4 linked regions of the Saccharomyces cerevisiae S288C genome follow. Each later gene encodes a partner of the first gene's protein in a complex. Each region holds a gene or a part of one and is shown on either strand. Other genes may lie near its edges. A codon is read from its position in the direction of its gene.

What was found.
Region 2: RTT102 (region 1) and RSC30 share a complex: the UniProt entries of both Saccharomyces cerevisiae proteins name them as parts of the two forms of the RSC complex.
Region 3: the proteins of RTT102 (region 1) and ARP9 are in contact, whole or in part, in a crystal structure (PDB 5TGC), measured with the Saccharomyces cerevisiae proteins. Residues at the interface, in NP_011791.4 of Saccharomyces cerevisiae: Met1 (codon at 974), Pro3 (codon at 968), Gln4 (codon at 965), Leu6 (codon at 959), Ile7 (codon at 956), Thr8 (codon at 953), Lys9 (codon at 950), Ala10 (codon at 947), Asn11 (codon at 944), Lys12 (codon at 941), Val13 (codon at 938), Tyr15 (codon at 932), Gly17 (codon at 926), Pro19 (codon at 920), Ser21 (codon at 914), Lys22 (codon at 911), Glu23 (codon at 908), Ser24 (codon at 905), Trp25 (codon at 902), Arg26 (codon at 899), Trp63 (codon at 788), Arg65 (codon at 782), Ser77 (codon at 746), Cys78 (codon at 743), Glu79 (codon at 740), Asp80 (codon at 737), Ile81 (codon at 734), Leu82 (codon at 731), Leu84 (codon at 725), Phe87 (codon at 716); in NP_013747.1 of Saccharomyces cerevisiae: Ala2 (codon at 3,782), Pro3 (codon at 3,779), Leu20 (codon at 3,642), Val32 (codon at 3,606), Pro33 (codon at 3,603), Glu34 (codon at 3,600), Leu35 (codon at 3,597), Glu36 (codon at 3,594), Ile37 (codon at 3,591), Pro38 (codon at 3,588), Tyr51 (codon at 3,549), Thr52 (codon at 3,546), Tyr53 (codon at 3,543), His54 (codon at 3,540), Ser55 (codon at 3,537), Gln81 (codon at 3,459), Arg84 (codon at 3,450), Leu85 (codon at 3,447), Phe87 (codon at 3,441), Val88 (codon at 3,438), Ser89 (codon at 3,435), Ile90 (codon at 3,432), Leu91 (codon at 3,429), Ser92 (codon at 3,426), Asp93 (codon at 3,423), Ala95 (codon at 3,417), Phe102 (codon at 3,396), Leu106 (codon at 3,384), Ser107 (codon at 3,381), Asn108 (codon at 3,378).
Region 4: the proteins of RTT102 (region 1) and ARP7 are in contact, whole or in part, in a crystal structure (PDB 4I6M), measured with the Saccharomyces cerevisiae proteins. Residues at the interface, in NP_011791.4 of Saccharomyces cerevisiae: Tyr27 (codon at 896), Trp29 (codon at 890), Pro32 (codon at 881), Tyr56 (codon at 809), Pro57 (codon at 806), Phe58 (codon at 803), Arg59 (codon at 800), Tyr60 (codon at 797), Lys61 (codon at 794), Thr62 (codon at 791), Trp63 (codon at 788), Leu64 (codon at 785); in NP_015359.1 of Saccharomyces cerevisiae: Asn4 (codon at 2,816), Arg5 (codon at 2,819), Glu100 (codon at 3,104), Glu101 (codon at 3,107), Leu102 (codon at 3,110), Pro103 (codon at 3,113), Pro134 (codon at 3,206), Val135 (codon at 3,209), Trp449 (codon at 4,151), Ser450 (codon at 4,154), Trp454 (codon at 4,166), Ser456 (codon at 4,172), Glu458 (codon at 4,178).

Annotation. Positions count from the first base shown.
Region 1 is NC_001139.9:1,041,640-1,044,249, reverse strand, and holds RTT102 (Rtt102p), read right to left. Parts: upstream 975-2,610; coding exon 501-974; downstream 1-500. Other genes in the region: RNH70 (Rnh70p), read left to right, coding at 1-431; TAF1 (histone acetyltransferase), read left to right, coding at 1,155-2,610. UniProt on the Saccharomyces cerevisiae protein: Probable component of the chromatin structure-remodeling complex (RSC) which is involved in transcription regulation and nucleosome positioning. RSC is responsible for the transfer of a histone octamer from a nucleosome core particle to naked DNA.
Region 2 is NC_001140.6:212,888-219,632, forward strand, and holds RSC30 (Rsc30p), read right to left. Parts: upstream 4,948-6,745; coding exon 2,296-4,947; downstream 1-2,295. Other genes in the region: YHR054C (uncharacterized protein), read right to left, coding at 298-1,362; YHR054C-B (uncharacterized protein), read right to left, coding at 1,630-1,803; metallothionein CUP1-2, read right to left, coding at 1,646-1,831; peptidylprolyl isomerase CPR2, read right to left, coding at 5,339-5,956; mediator complex subunit MED6, read right to left, coding at 6,110-6,745. UniProt on the Saccharomyces cerevisiae protein: Component of the chromatin structure-remodeling complex (RSC), which is involved in transcription regulation and nucleosome positioning. RSC is responsible for the transfer of a histone octamer from a nucleosome core particle to naked DNA.
Region 3 is NC_001145.3:336,213-341,572, reverse strand, and holds ARP9 (Arp9p), read right to left. Parts: upstream 3,786-5,360; coding exon 3,756-3,785; intron 3,670-3,755; coding exon 2,296-3,669; downstream 1-2,295. Other genes in the region: IMP2 (endopeptidase catalytic subunit), read right to left, coding at 1-431; RCH1 (Rch1p), read left to right, coding at 851-2,155; YMR030W-A (uncharacterized protein), read right to left, coding at 3,970-4,260; formin-binding protein HOF1, read right to left, coding at 4,266-5,360.
Region 4 is NC_001148.4:636,719-642,414, forward strand, and holds ARP7 (Arp7p), read left to right. Parts: upstream 1-2,806; coding exon 2,807-4,240; downstream 4,241-5,696. Other genes in the region: Rab GTPase-binding protein SRO7, read left to right, coding at 1-506; HTS1 (histidine--tRNA ligase), read right to left, coding at 661-2,301; GLN1 (glutamate--ammonia ligase), read left to right, coding at 5,490-5,696. UniProt on the Saccharomyces cerevisiae protein: Component of the chromatin structure remodeling complex (RSC), which is involved in transcription regulation and nucleosome positioning. RSC is responsible for the transfer of a histone octamer from a nucleosome core particle to naked DNA.

The sequences.
Region 1 (2,610 bases):
TTAAAAATCATACTGAGGACGATTCTAAGGGCCAGTTAATCCGTTGCGTCGAAGATGATGAGACATGGACCCATATTCACGAGAATCTAAATAAAGATGTCAAACTTATTGTGGGGAGAATCAAGAACTTAGAGAGGTCACGCAACTATAATAAAAAGCCACGGAAGGAAACTCCTTCGTTCGATGCGTCCATGGTTCTTCATGATATAGGGCAACATCTAACACAATTATACGAGAATGCTACACCAGGTACTATGATTTTGATCATGTCGGGTACAGGCGACACAAGACCATGGAACAATCTTTCAACTGAGTTAGAGTTTATTCAAGACAAAAAGGAAAGATTAGATAAAAGACGCGAAAGGGAACCTGAAATAGTAGAAGCCATAAAGTTAGCCCGGGGTGGTGTAGCATCCTTTACTGTAAAATAATTCTATGTGTATAAATATATAAATATATATATATATATATATATATATATATGCATAATACTTTTCCTTTTAATTCATTTTCACATCTTTACTCTCCTTTGTATTATCATTGTTCACTCCCGCAGATAACCCAGGAATGGCTTCACTATTACCGACAGCGCCTCTTATATCATCCACACTAAGAGCTTCATCTCCTTGATTAGCAGAAGGAGCACCGGTGGCCTTACTTGTATCACCCTTAGTGTGCGATGTCATCAACGACTTTTTCAGTATTCTTCTATCAAATTCTTTCAAATCTAATATATCCTCACAGCTCTCCCTCTGTAGATTTTTCTCATCTTCCTGGTTCCTCAACCATGTTTTATACCTGAATGGATATTTCTCCAAGTTATTCTCCATGTCCCCTAGCTGTTGTTGTGGTTGCTGCACATTGGAGCTCACCTTAGATGGTTGGTACCAATCATACCTCCATGATTCCTTACTCGTAGGGTTGCCATAGTAAGAAACCTTATTGGCCTTAGTAATGAGCGTCTGTGGGTCCATTTTCTCTATCTCTTGCTGACGTAGCTCTTTCTTTCCAACATTAGGTTTTATCGCCTTGTTCATTAATAAACTAGTCGATAATTTCATTTCGCGGCGATGGTTTTCAAATGTGCTTTTAAGAGAATAAATAGCATTTTAAACACAGAGAGAAAAAGAAGTACAACAGGAGTATAAGGCGATATGGTAAAGCAGCAGGGATCCGGCAAGACCAACTTGGCCAACGAAGATGAAGCATATGAAGCTATTTTTGGCGGAGAGTTTGGCTCTTTAGAAATCGGGTCATACATTGGCGGGGATGAAGGTGCCAATTCAAAGGACTATACGGAGCATTTGCCGGATGCTGTAGATTTTGAAGATGAAGATGAACTTGCTGATGACGATGACGATTTGCCAGAAGAATCTGATGCTAATTTGCATCCAGCTATGATGACTATGGGCGCGTATGATGATGTAAACGAGAACGGTGCCGTACTCGGTATCGACTCAAATAGTTTGAATATGCAACTGCCTGAAATTAATGGTGATTTGTCTCAACAGTTTATTTTGGAGGATGATGGGGGTACTCCCGCAACTAGCAATGCTTTGTTTATGGGAATGGATGCAAATGAAATTCATCTCGCCACTGAAACTGGAGTTCTTGATGGTAGTGGCGCAAATGAAATTGGGCATTCTCAACTTTCCATTGGTGGCGTTAATGGAAATGATATGTCGATAAATGGTGGATTTATCATGGAACCAGATATGTCAGATGGCAAGCATAAGAAAGCCACCAAATTAGACTTGATAAACCATGAGAAGTATCTTCTAAAAAAATACTTTCCTGATTTTGAAAAGGGTAAAATTTTAAAATGGAACAAGCTGATTTATAGAAGATCTGTTCCTTATCATTGGCACAGTGAAATATCTAGGGTAAAGAAACCGTTTATGCCTTTAAATTTGAAATTCAAGGTTCAACAGGATGATAAGAGGCTATTCAACTCAAGGACAATATCTTACGTCGCTCCGATTTATCAAGGGAAAAACAATTTACTTCAAAGTAACTCTTCTGCATCCCGAAGAGGTTTAATTCATGTTTCCATTGATGAACTTTTCCCTATCAAAGAGCAACAAAAAAAAAGAAAGATTATTCATGATGAAAAGACCATATCGGAAGACTTGCTTATTGCCACTGATGATTGGGACCAAGAAAAAATCATCAACCAAGGTACTTCATCAACAGCAACCTTGGCGGATTCGTCTATGACACCCAACTTAAAGTTCTCCGGCGGTTATAAATTGAAGAGCTTGATTGAGGATGTTGCTGAAGATTGGCAGTGGGATGAAGACATGATCATTGATGCAAAATTGAAAGAGTCTAAACATGCTGAATTAAATATGAATGACGAAAAACTGTTGCTGATGATTGAGAAAACAAATAATTTAGCGCAGCAAAAGCAACAACTGGATAGTAGTAACTTGATATTGCCCCTCAACGAAACTATTTTGCAACAAAAATTCAATTTATCTAATGATGATAAATATCAAATCTTGAAAAAAACCCATCAAACAAAAGTTCGTTCTACCATCTCGAACTTAAATATTCAGCATTCTCAACCTGCGATTAATTTACAATCTCCATTTTACAAAGTGGCTGTTC
Region 2 (6,745 bases), on another chromosome or scaffold:
GGTAGTCTTTTTTGCTGGAACGGTTCAGCGGAAAAGACGCATCGCTCTTTTTGCTTCTAGAAGAAATGCCAGCAAAAGAATCTCTTGACAGTGACTGACAGCAAAAATGTCTTTTTCTAACTAGTAACAAGGCTAAGATATCAGCCTGAAATAAAGGGTGGTGAAGTAATAATTAAATCATCCGTATAAACCTATACACATATATGAGGAAAAATAATACAAAAGTGTTTTAAATACAGATACATACATGAACATATGCACGTATAGCGCCCAAATGTCGGTAATGGGATCGGCTTACTAATTATAAAATGCATCATAGAAATCGTTGAAGTTTGCCGTAGTAATACCCAGATTATCAGATTCCAAATCCTTGTCAATAATTATACTCCTTTGGACAACTTCTCTTTCCATTAAAAAATCTGAAATCTCCTTAAATTTTAAATAGATTCTGTTCAGTTCACTAACGGGGAATTTCAAGAGAACATTTTTGTTCTTCGCCGACTGACTATAATCTGTAACATTATTGTTATCAGAGTTTCTCGCAAAATTTTGTTTTTTCTTGCTAAATCTCAGCATATATTTAATCAGATTCAAAACCTTGTTGAAACCTTTAATAGATTTGAAACTTCCGTTGCTATTCATTTCATCTCGTAAAAAGGATACGATAATTTCTATTTTTTTTAAAATTTCCAAAATCTTGTCATGAATCAATAGCAATTGAACATTAATCTCCTCATTTGAAAGATTTTTGTAAAATTCGTCATATAATATTACTTCACAACGTTGGAAAATAGCAAATGTGATTGCTATAAAATTCTGTAAGATTTCAATAAAATGATTTGCGAATAAAAATTCTTTACCATTAGAATGAAAGCGATTATTGCCGCTTGAAAATGACTTTATCGACTTTATGGGGAAGATAAAATTAAATGTTATTGAGTAAAAAATGTGCATATTAGAAATAATTTTCATCAGATCCTTTGCACATCTTTCAGAGTTCGAGGTCTTATTGTTGTTAGAAGAATGTTGAACTGCCATGGACAAAGAGGATTCGTTTTGAACAAAAAGGAAAAAATTTGTATAAACAATGGTATTGATAAAATTTAAAGTGTCTTTCCATTCTTTTCTGACTTCGTTGTCATGAAAATATAAGTCTACTGTATTACTCACGCCCATAGTCAAGGTTTCTAACAGACTTTCAATTTTGGTTAAATTTACTGGCAAGTAGAAAGGAACACCTTGCAGAATATTTATCAATTTTGCTTGCGTTTCCAGTAATTTTAAATCGTTAGCAATTAAAGGAATGTCGTTCGTATCAATAGAGGCAGGTATCGGAGATAGGTTTTCAGCAGCGGGTACCATGAATAGCTTTTTTTTTTTTTTTTATTCGAAATCTGGGGATTCTATACAGAGTTGTAAGTTAGGCAAACTAGAATTTGGTAATAATATTTTATTCTTGGGGCGACATATGGAGATACTTTATTTCCTTTTCTTAATTATTAACGTATACCTATAAATTAACAAAGTATCTAAACAAAATACATAAGTGTACTCAAACTGAGTAGAATCGTCGATTAAACTTCCTTCTCCTTTTAAAAATTAAAAACAGCAAATAGTTAGATGAATATATTAAAGACTATTCGTTTCATTTCCCAGAGCAGCATGACTTCTTGGTTTCTTCAGACTTGTTACCGCAGGGGCATTTGTCGTCGCTGTTACACCCCGTTGGGCAGCTACATGATTTTTGGCATTGTTCATTATTTTTGCAGCTACCACATTGGCATTGGCACTCATGACCTTCATTTTGGAAGTTAATTAATTCGCTGAACATTTTATGTGATGATTGATTGATTGATTGTACAGTTTGTTTTTCTTAATATCTATTTCGATGACTTCTATATGATATTGCACTAACAAGAAGATATTATAATGCAATTGATACAAGACAAGGAGTTATTTGCTTCTCTTTTATATGATTCTGACAATCCATATTGCGTTGGTAGTCTTTTTTGCTGGAACGGTTCAGCGGAAAAGACGCATCGCTCTTTTTGCTTCTAGAAGAAATGCCAGCAAAAGAATCTCTTGACAGTGACTGACAGCAAAAATGTCTTTTTCTAACTAGTAACAAGGCTAAGATATCAGCCTGAAATAAAGGGTGGTGAAGTAATAATTAAATCATCCGTATAAACCTATACACATATATGAGGAAAAATAATACAAAAGTGTTTTAAATACAGATACATACATGAACATATGCACGTATAGCGCCCAAATGTCGGTAATGGGATCGGCTTACTAATTATAAAATGCATCATAGAAATCGTTGAAGTTTGCCGTAGTAATACCCAGATTATCAGATTCCAAATCCTTGTCAATAATTATACTCCTTTGGACAACTTCTCTTTCCATTAAAAAATCTGAAATCTCCTTAAATTTTAAATAGATTCTGTTCAGTTCACTAACGGGGAATTTCAAGAGAACATTTTTGTTCTTCGCCGACTGACTATAATCTGTAACATTATTGTTATCAGAGTTTCTCGCAAAATTTTGTTTTTTCTTGCTAAATCTCAGCATATATTTAATCAGATTCAAAACCTTGTTGAAACCTTTAATAGATTTGAAACTTCCGTTGCTATTCATTTCATCTCGTAAAAAGGATACGATAATTTCTATTTTTTTTAAAATTTCCAAAATCTTGTCATGAATCAATAGCAATTGAACATTAATCTCCTCATTTGAAAGATTTTTGTAAAATTCGTCATATAATATTACTTCACAACGTTGGAAAATAGCAAATGTGATTGCTATAAAATTCTGTAAGATTTCAATAAAATGATTTGCGAATAAAAATTCTTTACCATTAGAATGAAAGCGATTATTGCCGCTTGAAAATGACTTTATCGACTTTATGGGGAAGATAAAATTAAATGTTATTGAGTAAAAAATGTGCATATTAGAAATAATTTTCATCAGATCCTTTGCACATCTTTCAGAGTTCGAGGTCTTATTGTTGTTAGAAGAATGTTGAACTGCCATGGACAAAGAGGATTCGTTTTGAACAAAAAGGAAAAAATTTGTATAAACAATGGTATTGATAAAATTTAAAGTGTCTTTCCATTCTTTTCTGACTTCGTTGTCATGAAAATATAAGTCTACTGTATTACTCACGCCCATAGTCAAGGTTTCTAACAGACTTTCAATTTTGGTTAAATTTACTGGCAAGTAGAAAGGAACACCTTGCAGAATATTTATCAATTTTGCTTGCGTTTCCAGTAATTTTAAATCGTTAGCAATTAAAGGAATGTCGTTCGTATCAATAGAGGCAGGTATCGGAGATAGGTTTTCAGCAGCGGGTACCATGAATGAAGACTGACCTAGAAGCGAATGTCTTGAGTAATACATTTTTTTCAAAAAATGGAATAACTTGAAATCTTTTATCTGGAAGCTTAACAGACAGCTCAAATCTTCGTCTAAACTTGATTTATGATCATCATGCATGTACAGAGATTCATAAAATTTTGTGATGGCAATAAATTTGATTGTCTCTTGGTCATAATATTCCAGGTTTATCAATGTGATTTGGCTTCGAATCAACCTCAAATTATTCATTAATGCCGAAACATGGTTATTAATAGCCTGCTTATTGAATAGGGTCATTGAATCGTTTAACAACAGTAGAAGCACAGTTAATTCGCCTAGTTTGGTCAGTTGAGATAAAGGAAGATCGACCGTTGAGAATGAAGGACAGGTATCACCATTTGGAAAAGAGTTATGAACAAATTCTAGTAAGAGGGTTTTGTCAAAGATTGGCAAAAATTCTTCAATATTCAGATTGTTAAGGGATTCAGAGTTTAGTGTCTCAATAATTATTGCTTTTGGTGGGAAGTTAACTTTGCAAACTTCCATATATTGTTGGTGATTTTTATTGTTAGGAGGACTTACTTTGAACTGATTAATATGGCAGATATCGTGCAAAATATTATAGAACTTGAAAAGATAATGATCTCTAAAAATGATGAAGTTTTTAGTGAAAAGGTAGTTGGGGGTATCCTTCAACGGTTTCACTTGGACTAAACTTTGCACATCTGTTATTGTGAGCGCTGTAAAGTATTTTTGTGAGGACTGAGAAGTCCTTGAAGTCTGATGATCAAATCCGGCTCTTTTACCGTCAACCTTGCCTTTCTTAGAATTCTCACCTGTTTTGTTAATTTTGTTTGCCGTGGTATTGTCGGCATTTAAATTCGATTTTTCTTTCAAACTTTTCAGTTGCAAGCTTTGTAAATCAAGCAATTTGTTTTTTAAAAAGTCTATCTCCTTGATTAATACTTCCTCTTGAGTAAACGGAGAAGTCATTAGATCGAAAACGGCCGAGTCTTGATTGATACCAACATTAAAAGAGTATGGGTTATCTGTATAGTCAAAACTTTGAGCGTTAACCAGTTGTAATCGTGTGTTATATTCTCTAATCTGATCCATGGAGGGCACATCTGGACTATCGCTTCTCACAATAGTGTTTCCATGAACATTACTACTAACGGTACTACTATTCTGACGAGGAGCAGTATTATTATTGGTGTTATTATTCTGGTAGCTAGCGGCCTTGGTCCACTGCATCGCAGTATCCACAGAGGGGTTGAACGAGAAGTTGAATGCCTCTATCGACGTTTGCATAATCGGATACTGCGTTTGAATCATTACGTTTTTCTGATTTACACCGTTTCCCTGACTAAAATGGTTGGAACCTTGGCCATTGCCGTGCGTGGACATCCCGGACGCAGAGGGCACAGCGACCATCTTACCAGGTCCATCTGGATAAAAACAGTCCGGCTTGTTATACTTGACGCAATTCCCACATATCGGTTTTGCCCTGTCGCACCCGATCTTTCTCTTCCTGCATTGGGTGCAAGCAGGCGGCTTCCTCACTTTTCTCACTTGCATGTCCATCATGATTAAAAACAAACGGCAAAGCTACGCACTAGTCACAGCAGACAACGACAATGCTCCTCTCATAAATTGCTAAGATACATTAAAAACAACAACTCTCTTCTTGTTCTTCCTCTCTTTGCATCATTCCTGCAAAATATCACACTACACGAGCTAGGATGTATAACCATCCTTAGTAGGACGCCAAGGTTATATTCAAAATGATATGATTTCCCCAATTAATACTTGCTGTTGCATTTTGAATCGGATGTAACTGGGACTAATGCTGCGCTAACCAGACGTACGTTCCGGTGGTCACAGTGCGGAACTGTTCCCACGTTCTCTAGTTAATTTACCTTTAACTATACATACTGAAATTGATATCTATGTATATAGTATGAAATATTGCATATACTCAAGAAGAGAGCTCAGGCGTCCACTCACCGCATTTTGCGATCTTGACCGCCTCGAGAGGTTTGTCATTCGCATCTCTGGACACGTGCTGTATGTAGTTCACCACATCCATGCCGTCCACAACCTGTCCAAATACCACATGCTTTCCATCGAGCCACGACGCTTCTTCCGTAGTGGTGATGAAGAACTGAGATCCATTGGTATCTTTACCACGATTAGCCATCGATAGTCTGCCCTTGCGATCATGCTTCAAAGTAAAGTTTTCGTCAGGGAAAGTATCTCCATAGATGGATTTGCCACCAACGCCAGTGCCGTCTGTGAAGTCCCCTCCCTGTACCATGAAGTTGGGAATCACCCTATGGAAAGTGGACCCGATGAACCCCTTTTTGGAATTAGTGGTGGTGCTTAACTTGTAGAAGTTCTTCGCCGTCTTAGGACATACCTTTCCGTACAACCCAATAACGATTCTGCCAACTTTCTCTTCACCATGTTCAATATCGAAAAACACCTTTTGTGTAATTACTTCGTCGTCCTGATCAATCAACTCACCCACATCAGATGCAATAACATTAACGCTAAGGAATAATAACAACCAACACCACAAGCCACTGAATTTCATTTTGTTTTCCCTTCGTGTCTTTTTCCTCTCATTTCTTTCCTTTTGGGGGAACTTCTTATGATGGGTACATCGATTTTTGAAGAAAACTGAAAAGTTGATTTCGCGGGGTTTTATAATATAGTACAAAGATATATGCAATTGCCATGGCAGTTCTCATATGTAGTTTGGGGTGGATCGAATGCTTGTGACCATTAATTTGTCCAACATCTCTGTAGTTATACCCATGTTACCGTTGCCAGTACGACCGGTACCGTTGTCTATAGTTTGTCCTCCTGTACCCATAGTGTTGACTGTCATGTTGACATTTGTGGTTGAGGGAACAGTCGCCATATTGGCACCGCCGGTAGGTCGTACACTGCTCTTGTTACTGCCCCCTCCAGCGTTGTTCCCGTTGGTGGCAGCCGTTGCAGTCGTGCTAGTGTCCGTAGGTACTTTATAGTGTACTCCTTGGGAAGGTTGAAACTCAATCAAGTCATACAAGCTCTCCAATGTGCTATTTAGATGGTAGCTCGTGGACATCAGCCTACTTTGCACAATTTTAAAAATTGTTGGCGATTGGTAAATGTTTGCACCAATTATGTAGTAGTCTTGCAATGGAATAATCTCTGGTCCCTTAGCGCTTCCCACACCAGAATTGTTTGTTCGTCTTTGCTTCCTGATAACCCAGAAGTCAGGCTCTCTTACGCTGCTCAATACGTATTCAGTACCATCTAACTTCATTAATTCCTCCTCCAGTTGCATATACATAGGATACTTGAAAAGGATTTGTCTTCTTGCCGGATCCACATA
Region 3 (5,360 bases), on another chromosome or scaffold:
ATGACCAACCCACTGGAAATGGGGCCAAAAGTATTGCTATCAATCGAATGAAAATAATTGTCCCCTTCGACCCATATGTGTCCCCTGGGCAGGTTCACTTGAGGTTTAGGGTATGGAAACTTCGTGTCAATGGTATCAAACGGTAAACCTTTAACCCTTTTGCAGTAAACTTTCCGAGGGTTTGTAGGAGCTTTGAAAAGGATAATGTCATCTCTAGATAAATTACTTGGGTTCTTGACTCCAAACTTCCAAAGCAGCACCCAATCTGTTGCCAGCGTTTCCGTTTGCGGGTTCAGCGTAGGCTGCATAGAGGTACCTTTAACTTGCGCAATATGGACCACATTATTATTGATTGTTAGAAGTACCGGAACCCATGAAATTGCTATTAGTGTGTTTCGTAAGAATCTTTTTGATGATCCGGCTCGAAACATTACTGTACAGTACAATGCAACAGCTTCATGAATAGCAGCACGCCTTCGTTAACAAGCACCCATCTAGTCATTCAATTAAGGCACTTGTTTTTTCCATTTTTTTCAGTAGCTCGGAACTTAGCCTCGCTCTCCTTCCGAGCTTGATCTTCCACAGTATTTCGATGACATTGGTCTACCCGTAAGTCTGAGCTCCAACGAACAGCCAGAAGCTAAGAAAGCATAAAAAAGAACCGAACCACTTTAAAATCTAGCAAATTTTAACCTTCAATTATATAAAGAGAGATTTATAGCTTTTTATTGCCTGAAACCGTCTATGCTACCTGAATCACCTTCGCACCCTTTTCTACGATATATCCCAACTCTGACATAACTTGCAAAAAGAAGGAAGACACACATTTAATACACCTACTTAGTGCCAAATGAAGACTCAGTACTCTCTAATACGAAAAATTTGGGCACATTCAGTAACAGAATTTCTGAAATCCCAGTGGTTTTTCATCTGTTTGGCTATTTTAATCGTTATTGCAAGATTTGCTCCGAATTTTGCAAGAGACGGAGGGTTAATTAAAGGCCAATATAGTATTGGGTACGGCTGCGTCGCCTGGATTTTTCTCCAAAGTGGCCTGGGAATGAAATCAAGGTCACTAATGGCAAATATGTTAAATTGGAGAGCTCATGCCACTATTCTGGTTCTGAGTTTCCTTATTACCTCGTCCATAGTATATGGATTTTGTTGCGCGGTAAAGGCTGCTAATGATCCGAAAATAGATGACTGGGTACTTATCGGTCTAATTTTGACTGCCACTTGTCCAACAACCGTGGCTTCAAACGTTATCATGACTACGAATGCAGGTGGAAATAGCCTTTTGTGCGTTTGTGAAGTATTCATTGGAAATTTGTTGGGTGCGTTTATTACACCTGCATTGGTTCAAATGTTTACTAACCGCGCACCATTTGCATACGGCAACCCTGCCACTGGAAATGGCATTGGTGCGCTTTATGGCCGTGTTATGAAACAGGTTGGTCTCTCTGTATTCGTACCCTTGTTTGTGGGTCAGGTTATTCAAAATTGCTTTCCGAAGGGTACTGCTTATTACCTGGGCTTTTTGAAAAAATACCATATTAAAATTGGATCTTACATGCTTTTATTGATTATGTTTAGTTCATTCTCAACTGCCTTTTATCAGGATGCGTTTACTAGCGTTTCTCATGTTTGCATCATATTTCTCTGCTTTTTTAATTTGGGAATTTATATATTCTTCACGGGTCTGTCATACTTATGTGCAAGGCCATGGTTCATCCTCAAGCTTTTCCCTCATGAACCAATAGAGGGCAAATCTACAAGATTGTACCGCTATTCGTATAATATCTTTAGGCCTTTTTATTATTCAAAGGAAGATGCGATTTGCATTATGTTTTGTGGCCCGGCTAAAACTGCAGCACTGGGTGTATCACTAATTACTTCACAATACGGCGATAAAAAAGAACACCTGGGTAAGTTGTTGGTTCCCTTGGTTTTATATCAAGTTGAGCAAGTCATGACGGCAAATTTCTTTGTAAGCTTGTTCAAAAGATGGATACAAAAGGACGCTCAAGCAGACGGAAGCGAGTCATCTTGTGCAAATGAGAATGAGGAAGTTGATTTGGAAAAGATCATATCAATTGGAACTGGTGAAAATCAATCCGTTCTGTCGAACAACGTCCCATATACACAACCAAGGTGATATTTCCCTTGTTAATTTTGCATGAATTCTATATATTACATAACGTTTATGTATATATTTCCCATCCTCATTGGATGGAAAAAACTAAACAGCACATATTCACACGGATTTTGGATACACGAAGCATCTATCACGTATTCTTAAAATTGCACGTCCCAAAGAGCAGCCGGTCCTTTCATATTATACTTTTCTCTTGTGATATAAAATGTATCTTTAGGATGAGTGAAAATTTGCTTAGAAACAATTTGGGCACCCAAGAATATAATCTCTGAATATCCACTTTTCTTCCACTCAGGAAAGTAATCTGGATATTTAGCCAGTTTGATTACTGTAGGACACTGTACGTATTCTATAGTTGGAACAAATGCGGTGCTATTTGTCATAAACTTGCTTTTCTTTTTTGTTGCAGCTGGTAATACGGATTTCGCTTCCTCTTCTCTTTTTGACTTCTCTTCCTCTGGCTCTATAATTAAATGGTCTTTCAGTAGTTGACCCAGTAAAGCTTCTTTAAAACCTGAAATTGAAGTAGTGCCACCGACGATGATAATATTTTCCCAAACGGCTTTAGCTTTGTTAATATCATCTATGTTATCTAACGTCAATCCTACACGATTAGAAATATTCTTAATCAGGTTATTACATCCTTGGAATCTTTGCTTACCAACTTTAATTTCGTTACCTTTTTCATCCCAAAAAGTATTGAATTCCAAGTCGCTATTTTTAACATTTTTGACTTTTTGACCACGTTCTCTTTCCTCTAAAACTTCACGTGTATCACGACCACTTGTAATAATCTCGGCAACGTTTAAAGTTCCTTCATCCTCGTCCTCATTTTCGTTTCCAAAATCGAAACTTGATAGTTTTTTGGCGTCGTCACTGAGCACCTCAAAAATTGGTGATTTTTTCAATGATTCTATCTGATCATCGTCCCATTGAGGTAGTAGTTTTTTTAGAGAATCATTAATAGACTGTCCGCCCATTGGTATTGAAGAGACAAGATGGTCTAATTGTGCATAGTCAACAATAGGAATAATATCTGTATGATGTGTTCCAACATCAATAATACAACAATTCTGCAACGAAATCATAGAATAAGTGGCCGCTAAGGAAGCCGGCAATTGGATTAGATTGTTTATCTCAAGACTTTCGAAGACATATTGAGTAATAATCTCTAGATCCGATTGCGACCAAGAGTGGTGCGTAATCAGTAGAAGAGGAATATTAGATAATTCAGCTTCAAAAGCATCTTGATTTTTATTAGCTCTATCAGACAAAATAGATACAAATATTAGTCTAAGAAATTGTGTAAAGGCGCTTATGTCTATTATTTCACCATTTTGGATTGGTTTGATTAATTCGGCTTTATTATCCTTGTTCGTTGAATGATATGTGTAGGAACCATCTTGTCTCGTGGTCCGATAAATCTGTGTTGGTATTTCCAGCTCAGGTACAGTGAATGTTTCTTCATTCAAACCAAATTGAACGAGAGTAGTTTGAGATCTGGGGTATATTATCTGTTATGAATTGTTGTTAGTATAAAAGATTAACCAAAAACTGTTCGTGAAGACTTAAAAAATCCATTGATGAACTAAATACGTACCAAAATACTGTCCTGCCTAAATGGAGCCATATTCAATGCATATAGTAGTTGTTCAAGACACTTAACTTCGCGTGGTACATTTTTTCTAATTCCGCAATATTGTCAGTTTACTATTAGAGATTTATAATGTTGAAATTTGCTTTTAGCCACTGCGCGGAAATATGTAGTATTCGTAACAAGTGACTCTAATGATATAAACACAGTAGAACTGTCATTAGAGCACATTAAATAATATGTATATCTTATTGCGTCCAAATGAACATAAAAGTGGAAAGGGAATGCCTGACCTAACAATTATCGTGATTATTGTGTCAAAAATGGTAAAGAAAACTTTTTTTTTTTTTGAAAATATGAAGGAAAGACGTGATATTTTATGATTTTTAGTTACAAATCCGGAGAGGTGTCCTTCTCCCACGGCAGCGTATATCTTTCTATTTCTACTTAACAAAAATCTGACATTATACTTTTTTTCTTTTATCAGAAAACTAGTAAAATTGATATACATCGAGATCAAAGACCTTGATGCAGTAGCTGAATGAAATTATAGGGAATTAATCCTATCCTATGATTTCTATCTATACGGTCATTATCATAAACTTCACCTTTATACCAATCTTTATTAACAATCTCAGTAATTAGCAGATAGTCGCCCTTATGGAAATTCGCTAATCCAGGTGCCTCATTTCCAATCAATGGATACATGGCCTTGGCATATTCAATGACTGGAAAACCTTCACTGGTGACAATAGGCAAGGTAACAGTAATACCTCTATCCCTGACCACACCTCTCTCATCCATGATGTTTCCTGTTTTTGTACCTGGTTTAGAACTACTTTGGATTCTTTCCATTTCGTACAAGGCATCTTCAATTGGATTACTTGAATCTTGCATTATCATGGATTGTCTATGCGTGTGCCCCCTAGACGTTCCTCTTACTGCCACAGGAGGTTTGAACAAAATTGTGCTTGTACTGGTATCTCTCCTCGTGTTATAATCATCTTCATTGAGGTTGTGCGCAGAGTTAGGCGTTCTTCCCCCATCATCCGACCTCGAAGAAGCGGATGAGGGTACTTGCAAATGGCTCATAGATTTTCTTTTCCTATTTGACGAGTTCCATGATTTGGCAAATCTCTGTGAGTCGTCTATACTATTGGCCATTGAACTTACGGATGTAGTCATAGATTCCATACTTTGTCTCTTTTTGATGTGGCTAAAATCCGTTGGATTAGAAGAACTTGATTCTGATGGTGAGCTGAGAGATTGATTTCTTTTATGCACCATTAGACCTTTTTCATCAGGATTTTTCGAATCTTCATCAGGTTTAAGTTGTTCTTCCCCAACAATCGGCCTTGGTTTATCAGGTTTCTGCCTTAACACGGAGTCATCCACATTGCTCTGTAACTGGACGGGTGAAGACCTCAAAGATAATGTTGGGTTAGCAACCACTTTTGTCTCATTACGTATGACGGGTGTGGAATTTCTAAATTGTGTAGCCATGGTGACTTCTGGAGATGGCAATGGTTTCTCATATTTGTCTATTGAAGCTAGTTTCCTTTTATTTTCGGTTTCCTTCAGCTGAGAAGATAGTTTCCTTATATTGTCCAT
Region 4 (5,696 bases), on another chromosome or scaffold:
TTTTAAGAAATGGTGATATAGCGATTCGAGTGAGTGAATTTCAGGCGTCACTATTTTCTACTGTCAAGGAACAGGATACGCTAGCGCCAGTTTCTGACACACTGTACATCAATGGAATCAGGATTCCCTATAGGCCACAAGTAAATTCATTACAGTGGGCAAGAGGCACTGTATATTGTACTCCCGCTCAATTAAATGAATTATTGGGTGGCGTGAATAGACCTGCATCCAAATACAAAGAGAGCATCATTGCTGAGGGAAGTTTCTCGGAGCGTTCTTCAGACGATAATAATGCGAACCATCCGGAACACCAGTATACCAAGCCCACCCGTAAGGGCAGGAACAGTAGTTACGGGGTACTAAGAAATGTTTCTCGAGCTGTAGAAACTAGATGGGACGCCGTTGAAGATAGATTCAACGACTATGCTACCGCCATGGGAGAAACAATGAACGAGGCTGTTGAGCAGACTGGAAAAGATGTAATGAAAGGTGCCCTTGGTTTTTAAATACATACACTAATTCATACAGGGTAATGAGCAACTTCCTTCTATACTTATTTTTTTTTAGTTCTATATGCTTTATAAATTAATTTGAATCGATTTATTTTTCATTATACATGTCTAGTTTTACGAAGGTTTGTAAATACATGAGCTATCAAGTTTATAATCCTTTAATTAAACGAGTGACCTCATTTAGACCATCTTCATGAATTTGTGATAACTTTTCTTGAACAATAGGAACAATGTCAGCCGCACTAACCAATTCACCATCATCATCGGCAAATTCTTGGCCCAATCTTTTGACACGTAATTTACCTTCTAAGTACTCCTCCTTACCGAGGATTACGGCAATGTGACAACCCGCTTTTTCAGCAGCATCGAATTGCTTCCTAGGATTAGCCTTGGCCTTATAGACATATTCAGCTTCAATGCCAGCATCCCATAATTGCTTAGTAACCTTCATTCTTTCGGGTAAATAACCAGTCCAGTCCTTACCACCACCAAAAGCCATAACGAACACCTGTGTAGCCGTTGGCTTTATAGTTGTAGAGGAATTAATTCTTTGTTTGATCAAAGAAAATATTCTTTCAACACCAAATGAAATACCAACACATGGAATTTGAGTAGATTTTTTGCCGGAAGCTTCAGAGAACATGTTGACCAAATTATCATATCGACCACCGGCTGCAATAGAGCCGACACCAACGAATTCTGACGCGTCTTCTGCAGATTTGGCCTTCTTCTTCAATTCTGAAGCATTCTCTGGTGGAGCAGATGCAGAAGTAACAACTTCATAGATCAAACCTGTATAGTAATCCAAACCTCTTGCAAGAGAAAGATCAAAAGAGATGAATGAGTCAATGTCAAATGCTTCGGTATACTTCATCAAAGTAGCAATATCATCCAAACCTTGTTTAGCCTTTTCGTTTGAAGTAATGTTGGCATCTGCGGATAGAACAGCGTGAATTTCCTTCAAAGAACCATTTAATTTAACATACTCACCGATTTTATCAGCAGTTTCTTCGGATTGACCTTTTTCTTCGGTCATTTCCTTCTTGACTGCTTCCCATGGAGATTTGTCCAACTTATCGACAGCAGAAGAGATTTTCCTCACATCCTCATCTTTAACACCAGCGATTTGGAAGATCCCATCAAGAATCTTCCTGTGATTCAATTTGATTTTGAAATCTTTGATTCCCAAACTGGTCAAACCTTCCACTAAAATGGACAAACATTCGGAATCAGGAACCATAGATTCGAATGTGCCTGCAACGTCAAAATCACACTGGTAAAATTCTCTCATACGACCCTTAGTCATGGCTGGTTGGTCTCTTCTGTAGACTTTTGCAATGTGATACCTCTTGATACTCTGAATATTGTTCATGGCAACGTACCTGGCAAAAGGAACGGTCAAATCGTAACGTAAAGAACATAATTCACCACCCTGGTCCTCCAAGTTGTAGATCAGTTTGGAGTCCTCACCATACTTGCCTGCTAAAATTTCTCTTAACTCGAAAACAGGTGTGTCGATAGTGACACCACCATGCTTCTTGAATAGGCCAGATAAAGTGCTAAAAATGGCTTCTCTGATAACCATATCACTATCAGCCCAATCCTTCGTACCCTTAGGTGTTTTCAAAGACACTTGTAGTTTACCTTTCTTTGGAGCCTTTGAAGCTTTTAGAGCATTAGCAGCATTAGCAGTAGGAGCAGAAGTAGCAGCAGCGGTAGCGGATGACATCCTGATTATCGAAGACGACTTTATAGATGTGACTACTTTATTTAGTGATCTACTAAGCATTAAGCAAGAGACGAGCAGAAAGGAACTATTCTAAAGTAACACATTGGGCCGTAAGACTCATTTAAAAGCCCGGTCGATCAAGGCCATAAGTCATCTTCGAGCTGGTTAGAATTGAAGAAAAAAAAAAACTTGATAAAAAATTTCAAACAAAAAAATTATCGCCTTACACGGAAACGAATAGATTTACTTATTACACAAGAGAGAACAGTGATTATAAGGAAAGAAAGAGATATATACAATATTTCCATCAAAGACGTACGCATCACGGCGTTCATATAAGTATATCATCGGCAAGTCTTCACACCTTTCAATACTTAGACTTGTTCACCTTGAGTGATCCTGAAAAAAAAAAATGATGGCCGCGTTTCGAAGAAAATAAAGAAAAAATAAAGCAAACCTCAAACAAGAAAACAAAGCGGAAAATGGTAAACAAGAGAGATAGAACAGAGTAGTAGGCTATTAGCAAAAGCGCGAGAATTACTACATTATAAAGGATCTGTCAAGAATGACATTGAATAGGAAGTGCGTAGTGATACATAACGGATCGCACAGAACGGTGGCTGGATTTAGTAACGTTGAATTGCCACAATGCATTATACCCTCTAGCTATATTAAAAGAACAGATGAGGGGGGGGAAGCTGAGTTTATATTCGGAACCTACAATATGATAGACGCTGCGGCAGAAAAACGCAATGGTGACGAGGTGTATACATTGGTAGATAGCCAAGGGTTACCGTACAATTGGGACGCATTGGAGATGCAGTGGAGATATCTGTACGACACCCAATTGAAAGTTTCACCCGAGGAACTGCCACTGGTGATTACGATGCCTGCCACCAATGGTAAACCGGACATGGCCATATTAGAGCGCTACTATGAGCTGGCGTTCGACAAATTAAATGTACCAGTATTCCAGATTGTAATCGAGCCATTGGCAATTGCCCTATCCATGGGCAAGAGTTCTGCATTCGTGATTGATATCGGCGCGTCAGGCTGTAACGTTACTCCCATCATTGACGGTATTGTGGTGAAGAATGCTGTAGTGAGATCTAAATTTGGCGGTGATTTCTTGGATTTTCAAGTACACGAAAGGTTGGCTCCACTGATTAAAGAAGAGAACGACATGGAAAACATGGCCGACGAGCAAAAAAGGTCCACCGACGTTTGGTACGAAGCAAGCACGTGGATTCAGCAATTCAAGTCTACTATGTTGCAAGTAAGCGAAAAGGACTTGTTTGAGTTGGAAAGGTATTACAAAGAGCAAGCAGATATATACGCTAAGCAACAGGAGCAGTTAAAACAAATGGATCAGCAACTTCAGTACACGGCGTTAACGGGAAGCCCCAACAATCCGTTGGTTCAAAAGAAAAATTTTCTATTCAAGCCATTAAACAAGACTTTAACCTTGGACCTTAAGGAGTGCTACCAATTCGCAGAGTATCTCTTCAAACCTCAACTGATATCAGACAAATTCTCACCAGAGGACGGACTGGGACCGCTAATGGCAAAATCAGTCAAGAAGGCCGGCGCTAGTATAAATTCAATGAAGGCCAATACCTCCACCAACCCAAACGGATTGGGTACAAGCCATATAAACACCAATGTTGGCGATAATAACAGTACTGCCAGCAGCAGCAACATATCACCAGAACAAGTATACTCGCTACTGTTGACGAACGTCATCATCACAGGATCTACCTCTCTGATCGAAGGTATGGAGCAACGCATAATAAAGGAGCTGTCAATCAGGTTCCCGCAATACAAATTGACAACTTTTGCCAACCAAGTCATGATGGACCGTAAAATCCAGGGATGGCTGGGCGCCCTTACAATGGCCAATCTGCCATCATGGAGCTTGGGAAAATGGTACTCTAAGGAAGATTACGAAACGCTGAAAAGAGACAGAAAGCAGTCGCAGGCTACGAACGCAACAAACTAGTGGTAAGGCGCAAATATCCAAAAGGGATTGTAGGCGGCTAGAAGGAGATGAGATCTCGACCCATTTTTCTCAGCGCCGGTAGTAGCTATCAGTAAGGAGTAAGCGGGTTTCCTTCAAGATTCAGTCCACCCCCTACTTTGAGTGAGGGACATATAAACAAACGCGATAACTCGATGAACCCATTCTAATATAAAAAAACTGTATAAATAGTTATATAGAGATGAACTCTAAGCTAGTGAGGCCCACTGTAAACAGCCATTTTTCAATATGCGCTACCCGGCGGCGGAATATCGTCCCAGCTACATGATAGCCGCTTTTTTGTCTCTCTTTGTCCCACCTGTTCAAAGACATTTGGTAATCAGTTTGTCAGGACAATAGTAAACAAAAGTGCGCAAGTACACATGCGCTGCACGTGCGGCCGGAACAATGGCGCTTTTGGCTCGTCCGGATGATGCGAAAGGGAAAATAAAATCTCGCAATCGGAAAAACACTCGCGAGAACCAAAACAAGGATCCCCTAAACCCAGTACCCGCATACGGTTCTCCCGGGGAAAAGGGGGCGGAGGCCGGACGATGAGTGTTACCCGGATAGGACTACGGATCGCTTCGCACGTTTGTTTACAATTGATGACTGCGCTCCCCTAATAGATAAGATAAGCTCGCGAAGGCAGAAAAAAAAAAGTCTTCTACAGCAGTTGGTCCGCACAGACGATGCCAGACGGTGTTTTATCGAAAATTTTTTTCGCATCATAGTGCCATTTGTGGTCATTATTATTCCCCAAATATGCGAAAATAGTACACTATTTTTGGCAGGAGAGTAGGCTGATATGCCGCATTGATGTCCTGTGTAGCGAAACACAAACAAAAAAAGAAAAAGTAGGATGAAAAAAAGAAAAGTAATATGAAAAAAGAGTGAAAAATTAATTCATTTGTTAGTGTAAGCGGTCAGGTGTAAGTAGTAGGCTTGATAATGAATTAAAGATGACTCCGACGCATATTGTTTGCCATGTTTTTATTTTAGTTTGTAGATTTCTTTTTTTGTAATATATAAGGGAGTGATTCTATATATCGAATTCTCAGGCTTGGTTGGTTCGTAGGTTGTTCTGTCTTTGTTTTCGTTAGGTAAGAACATCACACAAAGATAACTATAGAATCACATACATATTTGTGAGAAATTAACTTCATTTCATTTATAGAAGAAGTTCAACCGAAACAAAAATTAAACATAATATAATATAATATAATCAAAAATGGCTGAAGCAAGCATCGAAAAGACTCAAATTTTACAAAAATATCTAGAACTGGACCAAAGAGGTAGAATAATTGCCGAATACGTTTGGATCGATGGTACTGGTAACTTACGTTCCAAAGGTAGAACTTTGAAGAAGAGAATCACATCCATTGACCAATTGCCAGAATGGAACTTCGACGGTTCTTCTACCAACCAAGCGCCAGGC